Linked DNA regions of Drosophila melanogaster. The protein of the gene in region 1 purifies or fractionates together with the protein of each later gene. This does not show direct contact. Each region holds a gene or a part of one and is shown in the gene's direction. Other genes may lie near its edges. The genes, in order: Prp8, Wdr92, CG14641 and CG6674.

What was found.
Region 2: the proteins of Prp8 (region 1) and Wdr92 purify together in Drosophila melanogaster (affinity purification with mass spectrometry, with the first as the bait; one large-scale study listed by BioGRID). This does not show direct contact.
Region 3: the proteins of Prp8 (region 1) and CG14641 purify together in Drosophila melanogaster (affinity purification with mass spectrometry, with the first as the bait; one large-scale study listed by BioGRID). This does not show direct contact.
Region 4: the proteins of Prp8 (region 1) and CG6674 purify together in Drosophila melanogaster (affinity purification with mass spectrometry, with the first as the bait; one large-scale study listed by BioGRID). This does not show direct contact.

The regions. Positions count from the first base shown.
Region 1 is NT_033778.4:12,158,687-12,165,536, reverse strand, and holds the start of Prp8 (pre-mRNA processing factor 8), read left to right. Parts: upstream 1-2,538; 5' UTR 2,539-2,652; intron 2,653-2,825; 5' UTR 2,826-2,843; coding exon 2,844-3,457; intron 3,458-3,513; coding exon 3,514-3,729; intron 3,730-3,789; coding exon 3,790-4,002; intron 4,003-4,064; coding exon 4,065-4,190; intron 4,191-4,233; exon of another isoform or gene 4,234-4,411; intron 4,412-4,470; coding exon 4,471-4,890; intron 4,891-4,948; coding exon 4,949-5,166; intron 5,167-5,223; coding exon 5,224-6,275; intron 6,276-6,337; coding exon 6,338-6,530; intron 6,531-6,566; exon of another isoform or gene 6,567-6,665; intron 6,666-6,753; coding exon 6,754-6,850. Other genes in the region: CG34232 (uncharacterized protein), read left to right, coding at 26-415; CG13177 (uncharacterized protein), read right to left, coding at 1,350-1,553, 1,616-1,675, 1,737-1,745.
Region 2 is NT_037436.4:17,905,938-17,911,536, forward strand, and holds Wdr92 (WD repeat domain 92), read left to right. Parts: upstream 1-2,205; 5' UTR 2,206-2,316; coding exon 2,317-2,591; intron 2,592-2,647; coding exon 2,648-3,500; 3' UTR 3,501-3,746; downstream 3,747-5,599. Other genes in the region: CG5290 (uncharacterized protein), read right to left, coding at 3,812-5,270, 5,332-5,599.
Region 3 is NT_033777.3:4,229,420-4,235,309, reverse strand, and holds CG14641 (uncharacterized protein), read left to right. Parts: upstream 1-2,967; 5' UTR 2,968-3,067; coding exon 3,068-4,324; 3' UTR 4,325-4,531; downstream 4,532-5,890. Other genes in the region: abs (abstrakt), read right to left, coding at 322-2,181.
Region 4 is NT_037436.4:9,969,426-9,974,599, reverse strand, and holds CG6674 (uncharacterized protein), read left to right. Parts: upstream 1-2,545; 5' UTR 2,546-2,627; coding exon 2,628-2,936; intron 2,937-2,997; coding exon 2,998-3,390; 3' UTR 3,391-3,449; downstream 3,450-5,174. Other genes in the region: vnc (variable nurse cells), read right to left, coding at 734-1,324; CG42455 (uncharacterized protein), read right to left, coding at 1,349-1,506, 1,599-1,677; Dronc (death regulator Nedd2-like caspase), read right to left, coding at 3,851-4,756.

The DNA.
Region 1 (6,850 bases):
CATCGATTCACCTTGATTACTCCGGATGTTTGGCCCGCTGCAGATTATCGTTTTTGCCACTATCTTGGTGGCCGTGGCCATGGCCATGCAGCCACTGGAGGACAATGAGCGAACCCATCATCTGAACCACAAGCGCCAGTTGTCGCAACAGCACCACCACCACCACCAAAAGCTCCAGGAGGTGAGGCATTCGGGCCATGATAGTCTGAAACATGGTGGTTCCCACGTTAAGGAGCATCAAGCGCATCACTCTGAGCGAAAGGCCAGGCAGAGCCACAAGGAGCCGGGCCACAAGAAGAGTCACCACCAGAAGGAGCACCGCCAGCAGCAGGACAACCACACCCGCAAATCCCGATCGCATTCCAAGGGCAGCAAGCAGCATCACAAGCGGCACACGGGATCGCGTCGCCACTAGGATAATCCTGTATCCTGTGGCCAGGATATATTCTATTTAAACTCTAGCCAATGGATTCCTTATGCGAGGATTAAACTCCGAATACAGTAAACACTCGTATAATTGCATGTATGGCAACAGTAAAGCCAATCTATTTAAATGTTTACAAAACTACTGTGAAATATAAGCCATGACCAAATAAACACACATTTCATAAATGATATTAATATCCACAAGCAGCTTCAACTTTTAATAATTTGGAACACTTGATGTAGGAAATGCATTTAACTTGGATTTTAAGTTGAAAAACAGGTAGTATTTCAGAGAATTATGAGTTTTAAATAGTTTATGGCCGCAATAACTAACTTCTATAGTATGGTTTTCTTTTGAAATTTTACAAAGAGTTATATACTATATAAACTTCTGGCTGATATCCATTGTATAGACCAGCTTTCTTGTGACCCCGTTTATGGCCTGAAATTTGGCCATGTGGATCGTTAAAGATAGGTCCAACTAAAGGTTCAGATGTGTGTAATTACTCGACTTGGCCAACTCGGAATTTTGCTGGCCGGCTTATGTATGTTACGTTAGCCGCCTCAATTTCTTTGGAAGTTCAAAAAACAAAAAAGAAATCCGGTTTTGGACAATTGAAATTTGAAAATAATAAACCACACATGCGAGCGTAGTCGTACGTAAAGTGTTTTTTGTTTTTGTTTTGTTTTTATTGCAATAAAGCCGGTGTTAATTGTGCTCTGGGGTCAAAAACTGCCGCTGACGTCATCAACTCGTCGTTGCAAGACAGTGAAAGGGTTAAAATTTCAAAACTGGGGGGCTTGCTTGTATAACTTCTTTGGTCACTAGTGCGATTACATAGGATTTTGTGGATTAAGGAACGTATGTCCATATGTCTGAAACTTCTTGCTTAAGGAACGTTTTTCGGTCTGGCATCATAGTATTATCCCCAAACTGGGTAAATTCGGGGACGATAGAATCCGCCTCCGTAGGAGCGATATCCGCCGTAGCCGCCGTAACCGGAATATCCGCCGTACTTGTAGCCACCTCCATAGCCGCCGTAGTAAATTGGCGATGGAGCTGCATAGTAGCCGTAGCCAATGGAGTCCGCGGTGGAGAGATCAGCCTCCTCAGCGGGTTTCTTGTCCTGCCAAGCGAATGGATTTTGTTGGTTGGTTTTGAAATGGAAAAACTAAAGATATGACCTACCTCTATAGGAGCTGCGCTGATGAATCCGATAATAGCCAGGCACAAAAGGATGGAAAATAACTGAAAATGTTCACAACATTTACTCATTATGATAGAAACACTTTTTGTTTGTGTGTAATACCTTTGCCATTGTTGCTTTTATTTGCGAAATTTAACGGGGATGCACTCTAGATTTTATGTTTTTCTCTCAAATTAGCAACTTTTCCCGATCGTGTTCTGGCCAGAAGCGTTGTTGTCCGTAAACTGTGATCCCCAGCGACCTGCCGACAATATTTATAGTGGCCCAAAACGTCCCGGGGATCGATTTTGCACATGATCATTGATTGGACAAACATTCGGGAGTCTGGGGATGTCGTTACCCGATGCGAAATGAGGTGTTTCATTATCACAGATGACTCGATGGGATCTTCCAATTCGGTTATTTGAATTTCTAAGCTACAGTGAGCATTAGTTAATGGCCAAAGAAAAAGTTATTTAGTGTTTTATTTATTCGGTTTGTTGTTAGCTAAAGTCGACTGTGTGTTCTTATTTTTACCAGTCATCAACAATAATATTGACGCACTACACTAATTAAGTTCCTAATTATTAATATTAACACATTTGTTGACGAGCTGATTCATTGATTTAATTACAAGGATTTAGCCTTAATTAAAAATGCTAATGTCTCGATATTTTTTACTACTACAATACAAAGTAATTTAAGTGAATAAGGCTAATTAGTTTTAGTCGTCGCAGTTTTGGTGAATTTGTAATATATTCCCCAATAACACCGTTATTTAAATTTTCAAATTTGCTCGCACTTTGTGTGGTTATCTTGACTGCTTTTTACCACTAGACTGTTTAGCAATTCACCTAATCTCTCGATAGACGATAGATGTCTTATCGATTGAGTGATGTGACCGTTCTACTATTCTATAAATGGCTGCCGCATGAAAAAGTAAACCTCTCGTTTTGCGAACCGGAAAAATTGTGAATTGCGGCCAAAGAAAGGCAGAAAAAGTGCCAAATAGGCAGTACAGTTGCAAATTAACTGCCAGGTAAGATATTCAAACCAAGATTAGCTGGGGGAAAAGCGAAATTTACGCTTTTTCACAGCGTGGTGAAAATTGCAAAAGACCGCGACGTCGGCGGCGGCATTTCGATTTCTCCCCCTGAAACAAAACGTGTCTGTGTGTCGTAAAGTGTATGTTTTTCGTCGTTTATTGATTAGGATAAGTGCCGCGGAACGATGTCCATTCCGCCGTACATGATACCACAAAATGCGTGGGCAGCCCAGCTGATGGCCCAGCAGGCCTACGCGGCTGCCCATGCTCAGCAGGCTCAACTGCACGCCCAGCAGCAGATGGCCAACCAAATTCAGCAGATTCCGCCACCGGGGGCTCCGCTGCCGCCGGCCGGTGGCCATACCAACGGTATACCCATCCCGGTGGGAGGTCAGGGACCCGGATTGGGCCAGATTCCCACGCCCAAGCCGGACATACTCACCGAGGAGAAGCTGCAGGAGAAGGCGCTTAAATGGCAGCATCTGCAGTCCAAGCGATTCGCTGAGAAGCGCAAGTTTGGCTTCGTGGATACCCAGAAGGAGGATATGCCGCCGGAGCACATCAGGAAGATCATTCGCGATCACGGAGATATGACGTCGCGCAAGTATCGTCATGACAAGCGAGTATATCTCGGCGCCCTGAAGTACATGCCACATGCTGTGCTCAAGCTGCTAGAGAACATGCCAATGCCATGGGAGCAGATCCGGGATGTCCAGGTGCTGTACCACATCACTGGAGCCATTACCTTTGTCAATGAGATTCCCTGGGTTATTGAGCCCGTCTACATAGCACAATGGGGGTAAGTTGACTTTAACTTGTCCTCGTGGACACAACTGACGTTAAACACTTCCGCAGTACAATGTGGATCATGATGCGGCGTGAGAAACGCGATCGTCGCCACTTTAAGCGCATGAGATTCCCGCCATTTGACGATGAAGAGCCGCCTCTAGACTATGCCGACAACGTGCTGGACGTGGAGCCCTTGGAGGCCATTCAAATTGAGCTGGACAATGACGAAGACAATGCTGTATACAAATGGTTTTATGACCATCGTCCTCTAGTGGATACACAGTGAGTTTTGATTTGTCATTTATATCTGATCTTGTTTTGATTCATTTATTACCATCTAAGGTTTGTGAACGGCACTACCTACCGAAAGTGGAATCTTTCCCTGCCTCAGCTAGCCACGCTGTATCGATTGGCCAATCAATTGCTCACCGATCTAGTCGACAATAACTTCTTTTATTTGTTTGACCCAAAAAGTTTCTTCACCGCCAAGGCTCTTAATATGGCCATTCCAGGAGGACCTAAGTTTGAACCCCTCATTAAGGACCACAATGTTGGGTAAGACAATGCATACCCTAAATACTTGTTAAAATGTAATTCCTGCTTTTATTTAATTTTAGGGACGAGGATTGGAACGAGTTCAATGACATTAACAAAGTCATTATCCGGCAGCCAATTCGCACGGAATACCGCATTGCCTTTCCTTACTTGTACAACAATATGCCACACTTTGTGCATTTGAGCTGGTAAGAGTCCACATTCTTCAAAAATTACCATTCTAAAATCTTATTTACGTGGTTAGAAACGTTTCCAAGTGATCAGCCTCTCTGGAAATGCTTCATGCCGCGTTAGAAAAACGACGAGCTCCCAGGTTACTGCCAAATTTGCGATAAAACGGGAGCTGCAATGAATATGTTCGTGGCGATTGTTAAGAATTAATCGTGACTGCTGATAGTTGCATACATATAAACTCATTTGTAGCTTAGAGGATCCACATGACCACATGATGTACTTTGTCTATTTCAGGTATCACACTCCCAACGTGGTCTACATCAAGACCGAAGATCCCGATCTGCCTGCATTTTACTTTGATCCGCTCATCAATCCCATATCCCATCGCAATGCAAACTCGAAGATTCAGGAGCCCCTACCTGATGACGACGAGGACTTTACTCTTCCGGACGACGTGCAGCCGTTCCTGCAGGACACTCCCCTGTACACTGACAACACTGCAAACGGAATCGCCTTGCTGTGGGCACCCCGCCCCTTTAACATGCGCTCTGGTCGCTCCCGTCGTGCCATCGATGTGCCGCTGGTCAAGTGCTGGTACAAGGAGCATTGTCCACCTGGCCATCCGGTTAAGGTGCGCGTTAGCTACCAGAAACTGCTCAAATACTATGTGCTCAATGCCCTAAAACACCGCAAACCAAAGCCACAAAAGAAACGGTGAGTTTTATTTAAATCAAACTATAGAAACGTTTTGAATTGTATCCTTACTTTGCAGCTACCTCTTCCGTTCGTTTAAGGCCACAAAATTCTTCCAGACCACAACTCTGGATTGGGTTGAGGCTGGACTGCAAGTTTGTCGTCAGGGATATAACATGTTGAATCTATTGATTCACCGAAAAAATCTTAACTACTTGCATTTAGATTACAATTTCAACTTGAAGCCCGTTAAAACTCTGACCACCAAGGAGCGTAAGAAGTCGCGATTCGGAAATGGTAAGCAGTTAAATTTCTAAAAATTTCCCTTTTATCAATTCCTTTCATTCCTATTAGCTTTCCATTTGTGCCGTGAGATCCTGCGTCTGACCAAGCTAATCATTGACTCTCATGTTCAGTATCGGCTAAACAATGTGGACGCCTTTCAGTTGGCTGACGGACTGCAGTACATATTCGCCCATGTTGGCCAGCTGACTGGCATGTATCGCTATAAATACAAGCTGATGAGGCAGATTCGAATGTGTAAGGATCTGAAACATTTGATATACTATCGCTTCAACACGGGGCCCGTGGGCAAGGGACCCGGATGTGGCTTTTGGGCACCTGGATGGCGAGTCTGGCTGTTCTTTATGCGCGGCATCACTCCGCTACTGGAACGCTGGCTGGGCAATCTATTGTCGCGTCAGTTCGAGGGTCGTCACTCCAAGGGTGTGGCCAAGACGGTGACTAAGCAGCGTGTTGAGTCCCACTTTGATCTGGAGTTGCGTGCCTCCGTGATGCACGATATTGTGGACATGATGCCCGAGGGCATCAAGCAGAACAAAGCTCGTACCATTTTGCAGCATTTATCGGAGGCATGGCGTTGCTGGAAAGCGAACATTCCGTGGAAGGTGCCTGGTCTACCCATTCCCATTGAGAATATGATCCTGCGTTACGTGAAAATGAAAGCCGACTGGTGGACAAACACGGCTCACTATAATCGGGAACGTATACGACGTGGAGCAACCGTCGATAAGACGGTGTGCAAGAAGAATCTGGGGCGACTAACGCGACTCTATCTGAAGGCGGAGCAGGAGAGGCAGCACAACTACTTAAAGGACGGTCCGTACATATCACCGGAGGAGGCTGTGGCTATTTACACAACCACGGTCCATTGGCTGGAATCACGTCGCTTTGCGCCCATTCCCTTCCCACCACTTTCATACAAACACGATACCAAGCTGCTAATATTGGCCCTTGAGAGGCTAAAAGAGGCGTATAGCGTTAAGTCCAGGCTGAATCAAAGTCAGCGTGAGGAGCTGGGCCTCATCGAACAGGCCTACGATAATCCTCACGAGGCGTTGTCCCGCATCAAGCGTCATCTGCTCACGCAGCGAGCCTTCAAGGAGGTTAGTTATCACTATTTCTATCTGTATTTGAAATAACTTTAAGACTTGTATTACTATCTTAGGTGGGCATTGAGTTCATGGACTTGTACAGCCATCTGATTCCAGTCTACGAAGTGGAACCCCTGGAAAAGATTACAGACGCATATTTGGATCAGTATCTGTGGTATGAGGCTGACAAGCGTCGATTGTTCCCGCCATGGATCAAGCCCAGCGACACGGAGCCGCCACCATTGTTGGCCTACAAGTGGTGTCAAGGTATAAAGTTGGAACTGGTTTCAAAAGAACATAGTTGACGGCGGTACCGGGCATTTTGGGTGTGTGATTTGTAGCAAAGTGATATGTATTTGATCATCCCCTTGTTGCAAACCTCACGCCAAAGATGATCTGCGAAATACACAGTGGTATGGAAAAAAAAGGAATATAGAACCCCTTTGATACTATCTCTGGCTTAGCTTATTCGTATTTTTCTCCTCAACAGGCATTAACAATCTGCAGGATGTTTGGGATGTGGGTGAGGGCGAGTGCAATGTGCTGCTGGAGTCTAGATTTGAAAAGCTGTACGAGAAAATTGACTT
Region 2 (5,599 bases), on another chromosome or scaffold:
GTGCGGCAGTTGGCAGATTTTTTATATGTCTTTGTTTAGATTTCGATTGTGCGGCATTTATTTATTTCTGTGTGGCGGAGGGAGGGGGGAAGTAGGGGAAAAATTGGGGCTGCAACATTTTCAATTTTCCCTACTGTGCGCACGCACGAACTTCGGACAACGCAGTGGAAACAAACCAAATGAAATCAATTGGAACATCGTTGATTGATCAACAATGATGTGAGAACTCGATGCTGTAATGCTTATTTCGAGAAAGGTTTTATTTAAAATATAGAGATTTTTAAAACACATTAGTTGTGAAAATAAATATTAAATATTCTACATTTCAATCACATACATATAAGTTTCTGTATGTGCGCGTATACTTCCTCATATGCAAGTTAAATATAGGCGCGTGATATGAAATATTTCCCGGCACAATATGAGTGCTATCATTAATCCCTCAGTTTCCCTATTTATTACTATAGATTATTATTGCAGCTATTGCGTGCTATTAGCTGCGAAAACTTTAATCCCAAATTAGAAACAGGTGTGAAAGTGGAGGGTTTTAATCTTGAGCCCAAGGCAACGACTATTGGCAATCTTTACAGTTCACGTATAAGTGATAATGTATAAAAATAATCTGTGTAAATTACCGATTGATTGATAAGTAATTCACAAGTTTTATTCGCTTCGTTGTGGGAAAGTATAAAGCTAGAATTTTATATTTGTCAGAAAGAAAATATAATTATAGATTTATTTAAATCTGGTTCTGTATTCATAACCAATAATTTTTACAAAAAGACCAAGTCGACTGTTAAGGGGAATTTTTGTAGAAATAATTGCCTTTATAATTGTGCACTTTACGTGTTGCATAATATTTACTTTTTTTTTTTTTTCAGACCAAAAAACCAATTAGTTTCCATTCACTATTTGTTCTCCCCAGCGTGGTGGGCTTATCAACAAATCCCAATAAGTATAGGGTATTCCGAACGGGCGATGCGACAGGTTGGCAAAAAGTCGCCAAAACGGAAGAATGACATAAACATATGTACTATATACATGATGTACTATAACGCTTATATACTAAATATTATACACTATGAGTGTGTGTCAAGTGCAAGTGCACCGAAAACAACAGAGAGGGCACACAGAAACAATAAAGCCAATGAAAAAGCTGAAAAGTACACAATTAACGTGATTGTCCCCAAAATTGACGATAAATCGAAAGGCAACGGCGGAAGTAAGGAAATGTTGGGCAATACAAATGAATGTGAAAACATGCCGAGAATGGAAGAATCTTTGTGGCTTTTACCTTTGAGAAACTACATTAATTTTTAGTTGGCACTCAATTCGGTTGCCAACGAGTACAGCTGTTGCTGTAGTTGTTGTTCTTGTAGTCGTCTATACTGCCGTCGATTTGTTGGCACCTTCAACTTTTGATAGCGCCTTTGTTATTGTTGTATCACTTGTTGCCAATAAAAAATTGATTAACACTTTTCTGGCGCATGCATCGCAAATATGCTAAACTTTGAGCACTCTTTAGCGAGTTTTTGTTCTGCCAAAACGATTATCACTTATATAAAACCGGCTAAAAGGCCCGCAAATTAATAGCCAACGCTATAAGCTGCGCTTTGTTATTTCAATAATATTTATTTTCGCTTATTTAACCCCGCACGTTTAATATCTCATCGTTTTTTTTTTAATGCAGAAAAGCGTCGCTTGCGACACACGTAAAAGTGTTTCTTTGTCGTTATATATGAAGTTGTTGCTGCTGTTGCTGTTGTTGTTGCTATTGGGGGGTCGAACGCCAAAAAAAGATGCTCGCGCCAAAAACTAAATATGTGGAAAATCCGCGACAGAAGCAAAACAGCGTCCGACTGACCCAGTAAAACTGAAGAAAAAAGTATTCAACTCACAGAGTGGCGAAAGCTTTTTAAGCTTACCACCATTAACAGCTGTTCCCGATGCCTTCTAATGTATCGGCATAACTATCGTACACACACATTATTTCGTAAATTTTAAATTATTTGATTATATGAGTACAAAATGTGAACTATAGTAATGGGATATACTTTTTACAAACGTTAAGCGTTATTATTTTTTTAAATATTGCATTTTAGTGGATATGTTATAATTTATCTATTTAAAAATTAGATTTGGTATATTTCCGTCAGCTGATTGGTATATTTCAGGCGCTGCATGTACGGCTACACTGAAAAAGAGGAAGAGATAGCCATGACAACAAAACAACTTGTTTTTGATAAATCCTTAAGTTTTCACCGGCCGCTTTTGGAATATTAGCATAAAGTTGAGACGGAAATATAGATCGTTGAAATGGACAAGCCCCAGCTTATTGAGCACCTCCACGAGGCACTCAACTACACGGTGTACGATACGAAATGGGTGCCCCTTTCGGCCAAGTTTGTGATTCTGGGCTCCAAGGCCAACGGGCACGGAATCATGGACATCTACGAACTCAACCAGGATAAGCTGGTGAAAGTGAAGTCCGTAGAGAAGAAGGTTGCCTTCAAATGCGGCACCTTCGGAGCAGCTTCGCTCAGGAACCGCCACATGGCCATCGGAGATTTCGAGGGCAGGCTGCAAGTTCTGTAAGCATAATCCCGCTTAAGTCATTAGATGCTTCTCTGACATGTGTTCTTTGCAGGGATATGGAGCAGCCGGACCTTCCGGTCTACAATGTAAAGGCCCACAACGGCATCATCAACACCATCGACGCGATTGGCGGCACACAAATCGATTGCGGTGCTCCGGAAATCGTTACTGGAAGTCGTGACGGCGCCGTTAAAGTCTGGGATATCCGCCAGGGGCAGGCTCCTGTGGTGGACATGTCGCCGCCGCCGCAAATGGGCGATGGCGTTAACAACAGCAGTGGCCGCCGGGACTGCTGGGCCGTGGCCTTTGGAAATACCTACAACGCTGAGGAGCGCATCGTTGCCGCCGGCTATGATAATGGAGATCTAAAGATATTCGATTTGCGATCCCTTTCCGTACGCTGGGAGGCCACCATGAAGAATGGTATCTGTGGACTGGAGTTCGATCGCCGGGACATTCCCATGAACAAGCTAGCGGTCACCACTTTGGAGGGCGGTCTCCTTGTCTTCGATATGAGAACCCAACATCCGACCAAGGGATTTAGTTACGTGGAGGAACGCAACGCCGGACGCAGCGTGGGAACAAATGGCGTGATCAGCGGACCCAAAGCCACCGTTTGGGTAGTTCGTCATCTGCCCCAGAATCGGGATCTCTTTCTCACGGGCGGCGGAACTGGTTCCATTCGCCTGTGGCAGTACGAGTATCCCGACAGGAGGGTCATTGATGACTCTGATGGAAACAAGTTGGGAGTTGCTGGAGCCCTTAATATGCTTAGTGCAGCCACTTTGAGCTCTCAGCCGGTTCACTGCTTTGACTGGCATCCAGACAAACTGGGCCTAGCCGTCTGTGGAGCATTCGATCAAAGCGTGCGCGTTTTAATTACCACCAAACTAAACACTTTTTAGATGGTGGACATCAAAAGAAACCCATTAAAGAAATGCTTCATACTTGTGATATTGGATGATGGGTTAATTCATAGGTTTATATTTTTATGAATACACTTTCATTGCACCTATTGCTAGACAATAAATCCTTAATGCGCAATAGCTTTTAAAATCAGAAAAACTGGATAATCTGCTTGAGCTGAATTATATTACAAATCAAAACTAGCTTACAAATATATATCAGCAATAAACTATTTCATGTACAATAAAAAATGACTCTTTTTATTTGTTTTGCAATTACAAAATAGTATAAAACCTTATATAGTGTATAACTAAGATCGAGACGCATTCATTCGTTCCTGGACAATTTTTGTCAGGTCTTCGATGCGTTTTTCCAGCTGCTCCACTTTTGCAGTCTGTTCTGCCGATACATCCACATTTATGGCTCTCTTCAAAGCATTCAGACAAGATGTTCCCGCCAGTCTGGCTGAATTTAGTTGAGAGGTAATCATTACCTCACTTTCCTCTTGAATGTGCTCTGTGATGGCCGCCACTGAGAGATCGCAGACCTCTAAACAAAGATCTAGGGCTTTTAAAGCGTGCTCCGACTTGGTTTCCCAGCCCAAATGCTTCGGTGTGTACGCACGATACGATTTTACCAGTTTCTCGGCCTTCTTCAGTGGCGTTTGGGCCACCAAGGCGGCCAGTTCCCACACAAGAGGCTCGTTACCATGTTGAATGCTCTGCTGTCCCAGAAGCTTTATGAGTCTTTTGATCAGAGCACTTGAGCCGGCGGGGTCCTCCTTGGAAACTCCGTAAACAATACGGGTTAGCACTTCCTGATCGAGGTAGTGCTGCTTTAGCTCCGCCATGCGCTGGTAAGCCCGCATGGCGTCGTCCCAGTGGGAAGTATCCACGGACACCAGCATGTAGTTCTCCCAAACCTTCCAGTTGCTGTAGTTGCACTTCAAGGCCTCACCAAGAACACGATGGGCCCGCTGTTTGTCACCCAATTTAATCAGGGCCTTGGCTAGGTTATTCCAGGATTCGAATCCATTGGGTTCCAGGTGGGTGTAAGCCAAATAATATTTAACAGCCGGCTCCCAGCGTTCCAGTTGGATTGCACAGTAGCCACAGCGCAAAAGAATCGCTTCCTGCAAGTTGTTAATCTCTAGCGAAATCTCGAAGTGATCCATTGCCTGGGCATAATCCGCACTCCTATAGAAATGGTTGCCCCAATAGGCTTGAGCTTTTCCACTTGTCTTTTTGGAATACAACCAAGCCTGCTCATAGAACGAAGGATCATCGATAGCATCGCCAAGGAGGCAGTACAGCAATGCCGTTGGCTTCTTCTCCAGTTCCTGCCTGATGATCTCCGCTGCCTTGTGACGGAGTTCCAGACTCGTGTAGCACTCGATCACCTGCTGCCAGGCGTGTATGCGAAGACAGATGTCCAGAGCTGTTTTGGTCATGCCCAAGGATCGCAGCAAGTCGACAAGCTGTAGCTGCACCTGCCACTTGGGACTCAAGTGGGCGGCGAAACCGTAGGAGAGTCGGGATCGCAGCGATAGCTCCTCCTCGGAGGTGTCAAGCAGTTTGACACACTCCTCGCATTGTTTCCAGCTGCGTTCGACTGTCCTTCTTTGATTCGATTCCTGAAGGCAGTTTAGAAGAAGGGCTGACTGCCGGACTTGGAATGGTCCGTGTTCCTGGTAAAGTAGGGTTTGTGTATACGGCTCCAGTTGTTCATCCGCCAGGCGATCCTTAGGCGTTGAGCGTTTCAATTGCTTTCTGTGTAAAGGAAAGATTTTAGTATATCAGAAAAATATTATGCACCATTAGCCATTCTTACACTTTGGCCAGCACCAGAGCTTGGAGAACACTGGGAAGCGTCATCACTTCGTTGTCCTTCAGTTCCACAAAGCGTATCCGCTCCAGTCGCGTGTCATCCTCCAGAAGAAGCAGTTTTGGCAATTTGGTCGTCTCATTTGTTTGGACGGCTGGAGGCAGAGGCTGCTGCTCGTTTAGATGCTCAACTTTGAGGCAGAGTTGTGGCAGGGCCTTCTGCTGGAATTTGGTGCGTACTCCTAGTAAACCCTCAACTTTTAGCTCCACCTGGA
Region 3 (5,890 bases), on another chromosome or scaffold:
ATCTGCGCAATTTCTCACGATCCCAGTGCGATGATTGAATAAAAGCGCTTCGAACGACAAGCATGCAGAGCTCTGCCTCAGACACTAAACGAAAGCCAAAGCTCGTCTTCGCTTTTATAATATTTTTCTTAAGCCCGAAACGCGCGCGCGTCCGGCCGAGATCGCTCTCTGGGGTTGCTGGGACGATTGATAAGCAAAGCTTCGTGCGATAAGCAGCAAACTGAACTTAAAACAGAGTGAAAATAAATTTAAAAGTTCCCAGAAAAGTATGTATGTATACTAATCTATTTATTACTATTTTAATTTGGTGGTGGTAGTGGTTTAGTAATCCGCAGCGGTGTTAGATAGGTAGTCGCGACGTCCTATGTTTGAAGCTTGCTTGTTCTGAACAGCCTCAAGTTTTGGGCACTCCGTGATGCGATGGCCCAGACCACCACAGTAGGTGCAGCCATGCGAGTCACCCAGGTCCAGGTGCTGGTGTTCGGTCTCAGGTGCCAGTTCGTCCAAGAAGTCCGGGACCTCTTGCTTGCCCTCGATTAGCAGGTGCTTCAGGTCGAGCAGAACCGACTGCTCGGTAGTCTTGTTTATCAGCGTCGTAGCCAATCCCTTAGTGTTGGAACGACCTGTGCGGCCAATACGATGCACATAGTTTTCAATATCGTCCGGCATGTCGTAGTTAATAACGTGTTGCACGTTAGGGAAGTCCAGGCCCTTCGATGCCACGTCGGTGGCCACCAGCACATCTTTTTTGCCCACGCGGTAAGCATCGACTGCCCGCGATCGTTCTTCCTGATCCTTTCCGCCGTGAATAGCCACCGCCTCCACGCCTTTCAACAGCAGATACTCATGTATGCAGTCTACATCCTGCTTCTTCTCAGCAAAAATGAGCACGGGCGGCGCGGTCTTCTGTAGGCAGTCCAGCAAATATACCACCTTTGCCTCTTGCTTAACGTACTCAACCTGTTGGGTGACGTTCATTGACGCAGCACCTGCGCGACCCACATTTATTGTGACAGGCTTCACGAGAGCTGATCGAGCAAAGTTCTGGATCTTTTTTGGCATGGTGGCAGAGAATAAAAGTGTCTGTCGCTGGCCTTTGAAGAAAGAGAATATCGTACGAACGTCCTCTTCAAATCCCATGTCAATCATGCGGTCAGCCTCGTCCATGCACAAGTACCGGCACATGTCCAGCGTAAGGATCTTCTTGTCCAGCATATCCATTAGACGACCAGGGGTCGCCACCACAATATGTACGCCGCGTGAGATGACGTCAAGGGCCTCGCTGACCGGCAAACCACCCATGGCCAGGCAGGAACGAATCTCAGGCATTCCGCATGCCTGGAGGTGCTTGCTGTAGTGTTGAATTATCTCGTGTGTTTGCTTGGCCAGTTCGCGGGACGGGCAAATGATCAGGCCGTAGGGGCCCTCGTTACGCTCAAAAGGCAGACTATACTCCTGTTCCAGGGCAAACATGATGACTGGCAGCACGAAGACAAGCGTTTTTCCAGACCCAGTGAAGGCTATTCCAATTAGGTCGCGGCCGGCTAGTACAGTGGGCAGGCCTTGCACTTGGATTGGGGTCGGGTTCTTAATGCCTTTGGCCGCTAAGCCGTTAAGTATACCTTTAGGGAACTTCATTTCCCGGAAGCTGCGAATTGGCGGGCTGGGGGTTTCTCCCTCCACTAGGATCCTCAACTCGTGGCGAACGGCCTCGCGCTCTTCCTCCGACATTTCCCGAATGTAACGCGGCGGTTTCCAAGCTGTTTTAATAGGCTGCTCGTACTGAATCCCCTTCGCCAACTCTGCCACACCCATAAGGGCCTTCTGCTGAGCAATGCTCTCCATAATCTTTTCCTCCTCTCGCAGCTGCTTTTCGACGGCACTCAACTTTTTGGCCTCGGCAATTTTCTTCAGTTCTGTGTGCTGGTCCAGCAGACTAATGTTGTACTTGCGTCCCCAGGTCTCGACATCGTGCGCACCCTGCGAGTCGTCTTCATTCTCATTCTCGCTTGACGACTTGGGCTGGGCCGTTTCCGAAACCAGTTGCACGATCCTGCCCAGCTTTATCATGTGCTGCTTCTTCCGCTCCTTCACCGGTACGTATGGCACGTAGTCCTCGTTGTCCAGGTCGCCTTCCTCCGAGGACTTAGACGACCTCCGATACCGCTTTACGTGCGCCATAGCATTCGATCTATATTTCTGATTTTTGTTTGTTTCGTTTTCGCCTAATTTGACTACAACAAAGGCCACCGTACGACGTTTTAAATTAGGCGAGCCCGAAAAATACTATATTCTAATGGGTATCGATTACAGTTATTAAACAGTGATTCCACTGACAGCTTCTTGCTTATGATATATTCATGGCATGCAGACCGGATAATAGTTTTTTTTTCAATTTGGGCAAAATCTTTCGATTTCGTTTTTAGGTGCTCTGGTTTTCTGAGTTTGAGATTGAGTCTTTCTTTTTTTGTGAAAACCAAGCAACGTGAAAAATGCAACTTTTAGCGCGAAGGTTGCCATACTGTTGGTGAAATATAACAGGCAGGTAAAAATACTTAGTAAATATATTTAAAGCAGGGCCAAAAGTGCTGTTCGTAAATAATGATAATTAATTGAATAACATAAGTGGTCAGAGCGCAGTGAATACGTAACTGCGAACATCGGAATTAAAAGTGCCAAAAACTCTGTGTAAATCGCCCAGAAACATTTTATATGAACTTATGCGTGCTATCAAAAGTGTTTCAGGAACATTTCTGTTAAACGGTTAGCGAACATGAATAGTACAGAATAGTAGAATATCGTATTGATCGGTTTCGGATCAGTCGAATGCAATATATTTTTGTGTGCATTTGGGTATAGATATATATTCTAAGCAGTGTGAATATGCTATTAAATTCAATAAATTATATCGATTGCTGACTTTGAACTAACTGTCTGCTTCTGGCTCAACTTATCGATATTGGTATATCACTCGCGACACACCACCATTTTCGACAAGTAGAAAGCGAATGAGCATTGTCTAAATTTAGCTCGGATTTTAAGTGCAAGGTACATAAGTGCCGCTGCTATGTCTATGTCAAAAACGACTAACACCTATAACCGGCAGAACTGGGAAGATGCTGAATTCCCAATTCTGTGCCAAACTTGCCTTGGCGACAATCCGTACGTGCGGATGATTAAAGAGCGGTTCGGCAAGGAATGCAAGATATGCACGCGTCCATTCACAATATTTCGATGGTGTCCTGGTGCTCGTATGCGCTTCAAAAAGACGGAGATATGTCAAACGTGTGCGCGCCTGAAGAACGTGTGTCAGACCTGCCTCTTGGACCTGGAGTACGGACTGCCGATTCAAGTACGAGATGCGGCGCTCAAAGTGGCTGACAATATGCCACAAAGCGACGTTAACAAGGAATACTACATCCAAAACATAGACGCCCAGCTGCAGGACGGAGATGGCACGGAGGCGGCAGGAGCTGTCGGTCGATCCCTCGCCGCCAACGAGATGTTGTCCAAGCTTGCGCGCACAGCACCCTATTACAAAAGAAATCGGCCGCACATCTGCTCCTTTTGGGTTAAGGGCGAGTGCAAGCGTGGAGAGGAGTGCCCATACCGCCACGACAAGCCCAACGAGCCGGACGATCCGCTATGTGAGCAAAACATCAAGGACAGGTACTACGGACGCAACGATCCTGTGGCCGAGAAGATCATGAAGCGTGCAGCCTCGCTTCCCACACTCGAGCCGCCGGAGGACCGCAACATCACAACTCTCTATGTGGGGAACCTTCCTGAAGAAATCACGGAACCCGAGCTGCGAGATCAGTTCTACCAGTTCGGCGAAATTCGATCAATTGCGCTGGTGCCACGCCAGCAGTGCGCTTTTGTGCAATACACCAAAAGAAACGCTGCCGAGCTGGCTGCTGAGCGGACCTTTAATAAACTGGTGATCCAGGGCCGGAAGGTGAGCATTAAGTGGGCTCACTCTCAGGCAAAGCAGGGCACCGCTGCAAAGACAGACAGACGCTTCGACTTGGCCGGCATTCCACCGCCTAGCGCGAAGCCCAACGACTACTTCAATCTTCGCCAAGAGCAAATCAATGTCATGCCCGCCGGCATGAAGCTGCATCAGTTGCCATCAAATCTAGTTCCGGCGTCGGCTTACCAAATGTATGGTCAGCCTACTTATGCAGCTCCCTACGGAAACGCCACTTCCACAGCCCTTTCTTCCTCGGGTGTCAATTTGGATTCCATATCGATTCCTCCGCCACCGGGTCAAGTACCGTATCCAAGTCAGGACGCCAGTCGGATGGGAGCTGTTAAAAAGTAGGAAAACCCTGTGGTCTACAATGGTTCCAATTCAATAAATCATTTTTATAAAATTAAATACAAACTTTTTAAAGTGGTCAGTTCCATAAAAATGACTTAATATTAATAGAATTTATCCGTATGGACGAAATTGTTTTCGATTCGAATTGTTAAGAAAAAACACCAAACAATTAGAGAGGAGAAGATAATAATAAATGATTTAAACTCTAAAAAAAAAAAGAAAAAAAGAACAAATTTTCGTCACAAAAGCTTATATCAAAACTTTTGTACATATGTATGTTGATGTGCGTTCGTCACTCGTTTTTACCTTTAATAAATGCTTTTCTTTGATTTGGACGATATTTGGGATTAAAAAAAGTACACCAATGCACATGTACATATGTAAGTTCATTCTTCAGTATTTATAGGGGAACTTAACATTGGGATTATGACTACCTCCCTGCATTCCATTCATTCAGATTTCATCAGCTCATTACTGATCATTAAAAATCTCGATCAAATTAATCACAGGTTAATTTGTATTAAAAAAAAAAACCATGACCTGAACCTATGTTCTAGGAAATCATCGCATAGCGCAAAATCAAAATCACGCATAAGCGCTATAAATGATAGCTCAATTCATCTCTCTACACCTCTTTTTATTCACTTAATCCTCTATCAATTTTAATGAAAAAGTGAAATTTCAGTCATTTATTAATAAAAATGTATTTTCTTAATTAGACTTATTTAAATTATGCATAGGATTTAAATTTAAGAATACAAATACATATATATGTATGTGAAATTCCAGAGTCTTTGGCGTCCTGTCCTACGGAGTTAGGACCAGCTTCTTTTCAGTTCACATGTCCGATTTACCTTAAGGTAAAATAATGTATAATTATGTATACAAAAACGAGTTAAACCAATTTACCTTAAATTATCGTTTCTGTGAGTAGTGTTTGTTGCTTATTGTAAAATAAATCCATTACCTGTAATTATTATTGAATTAAATTCCAAAATATTTACAATTTTTTTTTAAAACAAGCACTCAAAATCGCGTCTACTTCTCACAAAAGTCTATAGGCAAGTGATCTGCAAACATGTTCTATGTACATTACAAATTTAAAATTTAAATTTAAATTTGCAATTAAATAAAAAATCGCATACTGAGACCTTCGGTTAGAAATTAAAAAGCGATGAATTTGTTTTCAAAATCATCGCTTATTCCTCGTTATGATTAAGAACATTAGCATCGCTTTAAAATTTTAAGAGAGAGATGATGTAATATTTTTTAATAGCGATGAATTGTGGGACTACAGGGTAGGTAAAGGTTACATATGTACAGGTGCGAGCAGTGCAAATATGTTTATTCTAATGAAATCTTAGACTAACTGTAAATTATATAATGGCTATATTTCTTTTACCCGTCACTCTTACTCTTCTTTACTTCCAGAAAGGGGGTTTTGTCTTAGCTAAACATATGATTAATGTATTCTATGTTTTTTCAATATTCATTCCAATATACAATTTTACAATTAATGGTTTTGCAACAGCTATTTTGAAGTTAATTATTGCTTGTTTTGTAGTT
Region 4 (5,174 bases), on another chromosome or scaffold:
TTGCGGTACTTTCGCTCTCTCTCTTTGGCGCCATCCGGAAAAGTACCGTACTCCACGTGGCTAGCGAACAGCTGTTGCCGCAGATGTTCCACTGAGCATGCGCAAAAGGAGCTCGCCGCGGGAAACTGGGAAATTAGAAAGCTCCGTTACTGGAAAATCGGTTTAGTGGGAACGGTTGCTAGCTATTTTCATATGCCATAAAAGTTTCTCCACCAACACGACACCTACAACTTGATGGCACCCAAAAGTTGGCGCGAAAGTCAACACTTCGCACATAAAGACATCTTTCCGCTTGGCCAACTTTTCGGGCCAACAAACTTTTCACATTACAAAAAGCGCACATTTTTTAACCCACATTTGGCATAAATTTTCGCATTACTTGGGTTAACCAGAGCTCTAGCACAAAAGAATGGTAGATATTATAAATTATTTGGGGAGTTTAGAAAACCACTCTCTTCTAAAACTCTACTCAAAATAAAATCAAAAAATTCGTCTTAATAGGTGTTTAATGCATTTATGCATTTTAGATTGGCAATTAGAAACAGAAACCGTAAATAGTATTATTATTACTGATTTAATGGCCTTCAAACCCTTTATTGTTAAAAACATTATCTTTTTGTCATTACTTTTGTTTTAATTTTAGTTACGTTTTTTATTGTTAAATAATTACAAAACCCTAATGCACAAAAATGCAAAAAACGTCGAAGCCAGCAAGCGCCGGCAGCGAAAGTGTTCAGCAACAATGGCCATCGTGACCGCTGTGGTTGTGCGAGTGGCCATGTCCGCCGGATCTGTGGACCGCCTTCTCCTCCTCCTCGCCTGACTGCTTCGCAGCCTTGGCCTGATCCTCATCGGCAAACTCGCTGAGGTCGCGTCGCATGGCATATGCATCCTCGCCATCGGCATAGTACTTGGGCTCCACCTCGATGATCTTGAACTTGAGGGCGTTGGTGTAGAGGTTCAGGGCAGCCCGATTGCTCTTCCTCACGTGCAGGGACACGTACTGGGCATTGAAGCACTCGACCATGGCCTGGGAGGCCTGATTCATGAGCTTCTGGGCCAGGCCCAATCGCCGATAGGAACGCTTGACCGCTAGCGAGGTGATGTGCCCATGGCGGCTCTCCTCATTGGGCTCCGGCTCCTCCATCTTGGCCAGGACATAGCCCACAATGGCGCCCTTGTCGTCAACGGCCACGTAGCTAAGCTGAGGCCAGGTTAGTCCGTGGTAAAAGTAGTACTTCATCTGGTAGTTTTCGGGTAGACACAGCAGATTGCAGTGCTGCATGGTCATTAGGTCTTCCGGTTTTGCGCAGCGGATGTTCATGGTGAGGCTGTGTAGATGTGCTTCCTAGTCTCGGCGAGCTTTCCTGGCTCTGCCGTGGTGGTGTGGCTGTTGATTCTGATGATCCCAAGCAAGTGGTTGCTGATCCTCCGGCTCCTCCTGACCCAACAGCTCTCGAACCAGACGAAATTTCGATAGAAACGCCTTCCAGATGAGGAACCAGCCTGCAAAATAGACAAATTTCAATATGACTTGTTGCTCGGATCGTAGAAAATTGTTTCCATTATAACGTGATCGTCTGCGGGCGCCTGCTTACCCAACAAAATAATTGCTGCGACGATACTAACAGAGGCTAATATGGTGAAAATGAAAGCCAAGCCCGTTTGCAGGGACATTCTAACGGGGTAGTACGAAATCAGGAAACTATAAGCATTAAACTATAAATGAAATTTGAAAATAATAATTAAAACTACTTGTCAAAGGGTTTAATTTTAGTTTCCAGCAGCGAATTAAATGTTTTTTCTCCCTATTTGGATTGCTATCACAATAAAGAACAGCTGTCCTCTGGGTGTGGCCGTTATTCAACACTGAATGAAACCAGGGATACAATTTCTTGTGCTCTTTTTGTGGTAATAAGTGGGATATTTGCAAAAATTAACAAAAGCACAAATAAAAATATTGCAATCAAATATATTTATATTCTTCTGGCAATCTAAAACTTCTGCTTTTCTAGTTTTAACATTTATTTAAAAGACCCTGGCACAAGTGACTTTAGTTGCCACCAAAAACCACATGGGGTTAGAAGTTCCACTAAGCTGTCTGAAAGGCCTTTCAATAGAAGCTGTTCGATGAATCGTCCTTTGAGACAGGCACACTATACACATGGTCACGCCTTTGGGTTAGTTTTATTCAATATCCACCTGGCTGTTTAATTTATTTATATTCGCGAATGAGCACACTTCTTCCACACTAAGTTTATACACCGGCACCAGTCTGACCAGAGTTTGCGTGGGCCGAAATTCCAAGATATCTTAGTTTGCAGAGAATACCAATCATACTGCTACTATATTGAAATAGAATGGGATAAATTCAAATCTGTTAATTTACGTTTAAAAAGTATTTTAACCCTATGATGTCAGTTAACTCACATAGTATAGACTAATCCATAGAAAAGGAAATGGTTTAATAGCTGCCTTAATAGTCTAAAAATACTGCACGTTACTAAAATACTAGATGAAAATACAAAACGGTAACTGTGAAAACAGCTGATTTGCAGCAAACAAAGTTACCTCTGCAAACACAACGCATTTAAGCAAATGCCATTTGTGCAGTTTAACTAAGTAAAATGCAGGAATTTTCAGCCAAACGAGACGCTCTTTTCGCATGTCTCGACGATGCGAGCAAAGAGTTGCGGGGAACTGCCTTGGATCAGAGCAAGGCCAAGGCGTTTTCCATCAATGCCCTCGATCGAGGAAACAAATCCGGAAACGAATCCGGACAGGTGATGAACTACCGCCAGGGTCGCAGCATTGTTACTGGCCTCGATGCGGAGGATGGAAGACTGCGACGAATGCGCGGCAAGGAGAGCATTTTCAAGAAGCCCGAACTCCCCATTGGACGCTGTTTGAAGCCAAGAAAAACGCCAGATTACCAGGTGACAGACCATCCCTCTGCAATTAGTTGTCCCCACCCTAAACGTTTGACCTACTCTCTAGGTAAACCCGCACAAATGGAAGAAGTACTCCCTGTCTGATGTGGACATTTCCGAACAGAGCAACTCCGCCGCCGCCTTGTCCTTCCTGCGACAAATGGATGCACAGCGCGAGGCTGAGGGCGTCGATAACGAATCTCCACCTACAGATGGCAAGATCGAGTTCAAGAGGACCAGCAAACTCAGCCGCAAGCTCAAGAGCCTCAAACAGCAGGAGGTGGATGATGTGGAGCTGGATAAGCCGCAGTTAAGAGGTTCCAAGCTGGTGATGCCTGAGTATGTAATTGGCCAAAAGCCGCATAAGCCAAAGAAATGCAAAACCAAATCGGAACAGAGCCGTGCAGCGGGAAAACTACAACTGTCCCACTTGGCGGAGGAGGATGAGCAGGATGATTAGGTTAAAATGTATGATCCTAAGATTATATTATATAATAATTAGTGTCCCAATGAAATTTTAGAAATGTAAATAGATTTTAATTATATACAAACTGCGGTTTGTTGTGAAATATCATCGTTTATTTTGTAAGTGTACACACTCAAAAATCAGACTGGAAAATTGCTTTACATTTTGCCTAAATGTTCGATTTCAAAAATCTGGCTGTGTATATACTGGAACTCTGTATTATAATATTTGTAGATTTCTGGCAGTTATCACATAAATTACATAATTTCGTACCTTTAAATGAGGTATGCAATACGTATTAGAAGAATACTTGAATGAGTATTTGTTACAATATAAACATTTTATAGCACGCGAGCACAGAACACATAATCTAAAAGACATACTAAATGCGACGATAAGAACATAAATGCGGTTAAAAATGCATCCGGAATGATAAAATGTCCAGTGGCGGCAACTATTCGTTGAAAAACCCGGGATTGAAGTAGAGTTTCTTATTAAAGCCAAGATTATCATAGGCACCTGTCTGCATGGAACCCTTCTTGGTGCGCTTATTACCCACGGCTTCGCTCGTCTTCTTTAGGATATCCTCAAGGTCTGTGTCGTGGGCATGATCGGCCATCACTTGGCAAAACTTCTGGATGTACCAGCTGCCCGTGTCGAGATCGCGGTGGGTAACATAGCCCGGCGTATTAGCATAGCAGACCAGAGTGTCGGCAAGACTTGGCACATTGGTGCTCGGGCTGGGTATGCCCTCCGTCTGGGTGTCAGGCCACTTCTCCTCTTGCGCCGTATACACTGGCTCCATGAGATTGCCTTGATTCTTTGGATGGCCCAAATCATATTCATCGCCGCGGCAAAAGGGAAACATAAGCACCTTCGGCTTGTTCACCAAATAAGGACATTTGGCCGTCTGGAAATGGTCCTTGATCTTCTGCATATCGACCACAGATCCATCGCAAAACTCCACCTTCTCTTTTCCCTCCACACTGTTGCCGTGTGTCATCAGTACCATTACGAAACACTCGGTATTCTGCACATACGACGAGGAGGTCACCATTGTCAGAAGTTTAAAGAACTGATCCTGATTCACGTTCCCATAGGGGAAAATCGTAAAATTCAGTTCTTGAAACAAGTGTATCAACGACTTGCTGTCCTTTTCGGCTCCGATCCGTCGACGGTTTTGATCCGGATAGTCCATTATGTTAACCATTAGCAAAACGCCTCGGTTGAAACGTGATTGCATCTTATATGTGCCCAATATGGCACTATCCCCACCATGTATCTTTTTCGATTTTTTTACCTCGGGACCGTCAACGACACCCACATAAGGGGTGAGTGCTCCCAGCGGCTCATTCCGGAGCTTTGGTAGGAGAGAGAAAGAAAGAACAAATTACAATAAAGATAAGATTTTCAATATATATATTATATTTTCATTGCACGGTTAATGTGGCAGACAAAGAAGTAATCAACATTCGTGCTATATAAACACAGCTGCCAGCAATATTGCGATAAGATTCTGGTTAAAAACAAATCCTACTAAAAGAATAATTGGGATAGGTAAGTAGAATGGATGTGATTCATGCTTCCAAAAAAAATGGAAAACAAGAATCTCATACACGAACTAACTTCTGAAAGAGAAGCAAATAATACTGTGCACATGTACCAAAGTAGTATTCATCATTGAGTCCATTTACAATTCTTAAAGATACCTTTTCTAATCTCATTCCAATAGGAATAACTCAATTAACAAACCTAAAAAAAAAAATGCAAATAAATTG